Linked DNA regions of Xenopus tropicalis. The protein of the gene in region 1 interacts with the protein of each later gene in a pairwise test. Links are inferred from orthologs where the notes say so. Each region holds a gene or a part of one and is shown in the gene's direction. Other genes may lie near its edges.

Region 1 (4,300 bases):
GGCACTGAGCTCCTCTCCTGAGTTTACTTCTGAGTTATTTTCATATCTCTCCATAGTTTCCCTTTGGGTGGTCCTTCCGGGGTGACACCCAAAGGTGTTTATTCCTCGTACTAGACCAGGCCTCACAACATGGCATTTATGGGCACAACTCCATGGCATATGGAACGGAAGTTGTTGTTGGCTTTTGCAGCCACTGCCTGGCACTGAGCTCCTCTGCTTAGTTTACTTCTGAGTTATTTTCATATCTCCCCATAGTTTCCCTTTGGGTGGTCCTTGCGGGGTGACACCCAAAGGTGTTTATACCACGTACTAGACCAGGCCTCACAACATGGCATTTATGGGCACAACTCCATGGCATATGGAACGGAAGTTGTTGTTGGCTTTTGCAGCCACTGCCTGGCACTGAGCTCTTCTGCTGAGTATTTTTCTGTGTTATTTTCATATCTCTCCATAGTTTCCCTTTGGGTGGTCCTTCTGGGGTGACACCCAAAGGTGCTTATACCTTCCGTGTACTAGACCAGGCCTCACAACATGGCATTTATGGGCAAAACTCCATGGCATGTGGAACAGAAGTTGTTGTTGGCTTTTGCAGTCACTGCCTGGCACTGAGCTCTTTTGCTGAATTTACTTCAGCATATCTCTCCATAGTTTCCCCGTTTGGATGACATTTAGCGGCTTTGATTTTATTCCCAAAATATAAACCAGACATTCATCTCCATGGATTGTGACCTTACGTTCACTCGCCCTGACTATTCCCAAACCCCTCAACGGAATTTATTTCTCTATTTTCTCCAGAGATTGATGCTTTTGGCCCACATCCAGACTTGGGGTTTTGTTTTTATAATACTCTTGTATGTGTTTTTGTATTTGTATGATTTAAAGGCAAAGTATTCTATTATTTGAATTGTGTTTTGTTTTGTTTATTTTGCCTGTTTCTGGTCCTGACTACATGCACCTCTCCCCCAGGCCTACACTCTAATTCCAACAGCAGAGATAGGAACCCTGCTTACTGGGCTGCCCTGGGAAATATGTTGTACAAGCAAAGCTAATTCACCTTTAAAGCATCTTGCCATACTTTCTTTATTTTGGTCCTGTTTCCATCATTTCCCACTGCTTCTATCCTGACCTACTGTCTCCATCTTGCCCTACTGTCTCCATCTTGCCCTACTGTCTCCATCTTGCCCTACTGTCTCCCATCTTGCCCTACTGTCTTCATTTTGCCCTACTGTCTCCATCTTGCCCTACTGTCTCCATCTTGCCCTACTGTCTCCATCTTGCCCTACTGTCTCCATCTTGCCCTACTGCCTCCATCTTGTCCTACTGTCCCCATCTTGCCCTACTGTCTCCATCATGACCTACTGTCGCCCTCTTGCCCTATTGACCATTGCCCTATCTTACCATTCTTCCTATCCCACTGTCTCCATCATATCTTACAATCCCCATTGTATCTTGCTGTTGCCATTTTGCTGGGGGGAATATTTGGGCCCCCTATCTCTGTCTCTGCATTCCCGCTGGCTGGGGAGGGTCTCACCCATACCCGCGGGAGGCTGCAGAGATTTGATATGCTGGTGTTGTGCCCGCGGCACGCTGTACTGCCGATGACGACACGAGCCAATCAGACTTGCACGCAGGGCATAACACAGTAAATGGGAGAATTTTGATGCAGCTGCTTGGATTGAGAGAGAGCGAGAGAGCGAGAGAGCGGCTGAGATTCCAGCCCGTGGGTAGTCGCTGCCATTGGAGAGAATAAAGGAATCAGTGGGGGGGAGAGAGCTGAGAGGGAAGGGACCGTCGCACACCTCGCTGGCTGGCAGGGCTGCAGTGATGCCGGTGCCTAGATGGATTACATGTGGATTGACAGCCCGTACCTAAGGATCAGAACCGTATTGGAGGAGTCGGTTCCTGCTTGCGTGGTGGCACCGCTGGGAATCCGCTGTGGGGAGCTGGAAGCCCACAAGGCCGCGCCAATGGAGAACGTATTTCTGTGAGTAAGGACAGGTCTGTGGCACAATGTGTGTCGGACTGGGCACAAGGAATCACCCACAGCGATGCCCCCTCGTGCCAACATGACCCCCGGGGTGTTACCTCTAATGAGCAAATCCCACTGTTATTCCCCTTAATGCCCGGTGCTTGCAGTGCCCCCTCTTTCTGTGGCCGGGCTGCCTTTAGTGCCCTGCAGTTTGTGTGGCCCCCAAGCTGTATGCAAAGGGACCCTCAGGGATTGGCTGTAACTGTAGTATAGTGTGTATAGTAAGGCAAGATGGGGCTCGGCATAGGGGCTACAGTGCTGGACAGTGTGCAGAATAAGGTAAGGTGGTGCCAGGAGAAGGGGCTCTAACTATGGCATAATGTGTATAGTAAGGCAAGATGGCACTCGGCATAGGGGCTACAGTGCCAGGAGAAGGGGCTCTAACTATGGCATAATGTGTATAGTAGGCAAGATGGCACTCGGCATAGGGGCTACAGTGCCAGGAGAAGGGGCTCTAACTATGGCATAATGTGTATAGTAAGGCAAGATGGCACTCGGCATAGGGGCTACAGTGCCAGGAGAAGGGGCTCTAACTATGGCATAATGTGTATAGTAGGCAAGATGGCACTCGGCATAGGGGCTACAGTGCCAGGAGAAGGGGCTCTAACTATGGCATAATGTGTATAGTAAGGCAAGATGATGGTAGGTGTACAGGCTGTAACTGGGGGGGGATGCTATGAAATGTAGAAATATGTAATAGGCTGCAGGGGGGCCCCGTAACTTGGCACAACCCTGCCCTGTTCTGGTATAGAGTTTGCACCCTTTGTGCACTGGCACCTCATTCCCAGTGGAACCCATTGGGCACGTAACCCCTAAAGGACTTGTGTCACTGGGAAGCTCTTGGAATACAGAAATGACGTCACAATAGTGCGGCCAATAATGTCATTTAATGGGGCTCTTGGCATTTTAGCAGCTATATGGTCGATAGGGTCCAAATTATCTTAGCAACCAGGCAGTGGTTGGAATGAGAGACTGGGATACGAATAGAAGTGGGACTGAATAGAAAGAAAAGTTACAGAGCTGTAACAATAAAACTGTGGCCGCACAGAGCAATGGGTCATTGGTTCCCAAGAGCACAATGGAGGCAATTCATTGGCTGAGTGACAGTGGGATGTGCAATCTGGCGGGGGGGGGGTGGGGGTCATATAATTAGATTAGGGCTGATAAGAGGATTAGCGTTAGGGAGAGTGGGATAAATATATAAGGCGCTTTGGCTGAGCAATGAAGCCTTTGGGGTAATTACCTTCCTTATCCGCTGGCCCAATCCGGGGCAACTGGAAGTGACCTGGATATTTAGGTGCTCTAATACCATCCAAGGCTGTAGTTGTATAACCAGGCACCCATGGGTGCTATAATTGGGCTCCCAAAACCTCTATTCGAAGTCTGGGAGCCCATTGGCCCTGTGACTTGTATCTTTCTGGGTGCAATTAAGGACTCAGCAGCAGGGGAGGGGGGTGACTGGTCTGGGGCCCAATCACAGTGCAGGGACGGGGCCATAGCCATTGTCATAGGACTGCAAAAGGTACAGGGTTTGCTGGTGAGATGGGCAGGGGTCTGGGCAGGTAAGAGGGTAACAGGGCAGACTGGGGGTTTTGCTATGTATGTACCTAGCCTTGGTTACATGGATTCTAGGGCTCAGGGCCTGTGTGTGGGCGGGGGGGCTAATAACCCAGGCTCCATTGTGGGGAAAGCCCTGCTGATAGCATGTGGCCCAGTCATCTGTCGGACCTGCCAAATATCCTGCATTTTTGCCCCCCGTATATTTAATGGTGATATAAACCCAGCCATGATGCTGCCCCACGGCGCCCCCTAGTTTTGCTATAGAAGCTGCCAAAAACCATCATTACAGATGCAAGGAAATTCCCCAATGAGAATTGTACTGATAAATAAGTTGATTATAAATGCAAAAGAACTGCCCAGTGAGAATGCTGATTCCCAGCACTGTGTCAGGCCCCTTGCTGGTACCTTACATATAGAGATAATGATGGCATTTTCTCCCCTCATTATATGGCACAGGAATCAGACATGGGGATAAAGGGACAGACTTGTTCAGTGCTGGGAAACTGTGCTTATTGCTCCCAACTCCAATTGCAGGAACAGAGAACAGGGAGCCGGATTTACTCACATCAGCTGGGATTCTCATTGGAGGATTTTTCGCATGTTAAAGCAGTCGCTGGCTGTGGGGATTTGGGGGAAAGTTTTATTGTGCAATATTGCTTTAAGAATACAGCCCTGATGTTGCTGGACTACAGCTCCCAGCATGCCCCAAGC
Region 2 (3,008 bases), on another chromosome or scaffold:
TACCCCATGTACCTACTTATCCCCATGTACCTACCTACCCCCATGTACCTAACTACCCCGTGTACCTACCTACCCCCATATACCTACCTACCCTCCCATGTACCTACCCACCCCATGTAGCTACCTACCCCTATGTGCCTACATACTCCCCATGTACCTACCTACCCTCCCATGTACCTGCATACCCTCCCATGTACCTACCCACCCCCCATGTACCTACCTACACCCCCTGTGCCTGCATACCCCCCATTTATGTACCTACCCCCATGTACCTACCTACCCCCATGTATCTACCCACCCCCATGTACCTACCCCTCATGTACCTACATACCCCCCATTTACCTACCCCTTATGTACCTACCTAACCCCCATGTACCTACATACCCCCATGTACCTACCTACATACCCGTAGGTACTTAGCACTATGACCAGGGTAATGTTTCGCTTTCCTCTCTTGCAGCAAATTCCGCCTGTCCTATTACCCGCACCTCCTGGATCCCTTCACTGGGCTCCTGCACGAGGCATTTGGGGGGCAATGCCAACACAAGGTGTATGGGGACTTCCTGCCATATACCCCTGGCCAGGAGAGGGCCCCCTGTTACTTCATCCATGTGGCTAAAAGAACCGCCTAATCCAGGGCAGATCCCTATGGGCCTATGGCTGTTTATATTGGAGGGGTCTCTGCTGATGTCGGGGTACAGGGGCCCTGTGTCTTTCCTATAAGGGAATTGGAATCCCCAGTGTGATTAGGGCCCACTGATGGTGGGGGCCCCGAGAATATGCGCTTTTGCGGGTGGAGGGATTCGGCAATGATTTTGTGCTTCAATCTGTGAAACTGAAATTTGGCAAAACCTCTGGCCCCTTCCTGCTCCAATCACTGATCCATTCATTCCCCCGCCCCCTTCCTGCTCCAATCACTGATCCATTCATTCCCCCGCCCCCTTCCTGCTCCAATCACTGATCCATTCATTCCCCCGCCCCCTTCCTGCTCCAATCACTGATCCATTCATTCCCCGCCCCCTTCCTGCTCCAATCACTGATCCATTCATTCCCCCGCCCCCTTCCTGCACCAATCACTGATCCATTCTTTCCCTGCCCCCTTCCTGCACCAATCACTGATCTATTCATTCCCCCGCCCCCTTCCTGCACCAATCACTGATCCATTCATTCCCTGCCCCCTTCCTGCACCAATCACTGATCTGTTTATTCCCCCGCCCCCTTCCTGCTCCAATCACTGATCCATTCATCCCCCGCCCCCTTCCTGCTCCAATCACTGATCTATTCATTCCACCCCCCCCAAACTGCCAGTCATCTTGCTTTGTGGCATTCATTGGCTGCCGTTAGTTCAGTGGGACCCCCAGTAATCATAATCGGGGGGTCGGGGAGTTGCCCCCAGTCTCCATACGACTATGTATAAGGATTTCTATAGACTGGGGGGGTATATGCCAATCTGTGTGACTGTATGTGGCACCGTGCCCCCCACTTTGGCCCCCAGGAAAAGTGCGGACCCCCACTGGCTGCTATTGGCTAAACAGTGGCACTTTATGGCCGTGACCTTGAATGGGTGTGGTCAAAGGTTGAGGGGCCAAAAAGTGGGTGTGGCCTAAATACGAAATAGTCTGACAATCTGTACTTTTCTAGTTGCCCCTAGATTGGTACCTTAGTGTAACATGGAATTAGTGGCCTTCCCCACGTGTGTCAGTACGGGGGTATCTGTGGCCTTACTGCCCCAGTCTGTATGTCTCTGCCCCAGTCTGTATGTCTCTGCCCTGGTCTGTGTGTCTCTGCCCCGGTCTGTGTGTCTCCGCCCCAGTCTGTGTGTCTCCGCCCCGGTCTGTGTGTCTCCGCCCCGGTCTGCGTGTCTCCGCCCCGGTCTGCATGTCTCTGCCCCGGTCTGTATGTCTCTGCCCCGGTCTGCGTGTCTCCGCCCCGGTCTGCATGTCTCTGCCCCGGTCTGTATGTCTCTGCCCCGGTCTGCATGTCTCTGCCCCGGTCTGCATGTCTCCGACCCGGTCTGTATGTCTCCGCCCCGGTCTGTATGTCTCTGCCCCGGTCTGTATGTCTCTGCCCCGGTCTGCATGTCTCCGCCCCGGTCTGCATGTCTCTGCCCCGGTCTGCATGTCTCCGCCCCGGTCTGCATGTCTCTGCCCCGGTCTGCATGTCTCTCTGTATAAGGCTACACACTGGGTACATGTGACACACGGGGACACGTATTGTACATATATGTTACACGCTAAACCAAAGCTGTACATTAAATTGCAGAATTTATACAATTAATTGGAAATAAATCATCACAACAATGATCTCTGTGTCTTTGTCTCTCATTGGTCACTTCCCGGCGTTTCCAATAACCGTTATTTCTGATCTTTCAAACCACTGCCTGGTTGTTAGGTTAAATATGACCCTAGCAACCTGTTAGCTGCTGAAATTCCAAAGCGCAGAGCCGCTGAACCAACTGCAATTTAAAGGGGAACAAGTCCTTGAAGCCCAGAGACTGTTTGGCTGCTGGATACAAACAGGTCAGGACTGAGATATATAATAAGTACACATACCTCCCAACATTTGAAAAATGAAAAGAGGGACAAAAAGATTTGGTGCGCGCAGCGCGGCAATTTTTTTTGACCATGCCCCCTTTTGTGGTCACGCCCCAATTACCACACCCCATTTTAAAAAAAATACCCCTTTTATATAGATCAAATGGCGGGAGCAGACGAAAATGTGCTATACCCTCATACTGAATGACCTAAGAAAAACAATATAGCAACTCCTACATTAAAATACAAATATAGAGAGAAGGCAGTCAGTTATAACTAAGTACCAGTTTTTCCCCCCCATACACAGTACCCCCATACACAGTAGCCCGCCCCATACACAGTAGCCCGCCCCATACACAGTAGCCCGCCCCATACACAGTAGCCCCCCATACACAGTAGCCCCCCCATACACAGTAGCCCCCCATACACAGTAGCCCCCCCATACACAGCAGCCCCCCCATACACAGTAGCCCC

The links.
Region 2: the proteins of arrb1 (region 1) and gnmt interact in binary tests that used the Homo sapiens proteins (3 or more experiments, as listed by UniProt). The link is inferred for Xenopus tropicalis from reciprocal best matches to the Homo sapiens genes ARRB1 and GNMT.

What each region holds. Positions count from the first base shown.
Region 1 is NC_030678.2:175,782,683-175,786,982, forward strand, and holds the start of arrb1 (beta-arrestin-1), read left to right. Parts: upstream 1-1,494; 5' UTR 1,495-1,838; coding exon 1,839-1,984; intron 1,985-4,300. UniProt on the Homo sapiens protein: Functions in regulating agonist-mediated G-protein coupled receptor (GPCR) signaling by mediating both receptor desensitization and resensitization processes.
Region 2 is NC_030681.2:258,318-261,325, forward strand, and holds the end of gnmt (glycine N-methyltransferase), read left to right. Parts: intron 1-460; coding exon 461-632; 3' UTR 633-2,303; downstream 2,304-3,008. UniProt on the Homo sapiens protein: Catalyzes the methylation of glycine by using S-adenosylmethionine (AdoMet) to form N-methylglycine (sarcosine) with the concomitant production of S-adenosylhomocysteine (AdoHcy), a reaction regulated by the binding of 5-methyltetrahydrofolate.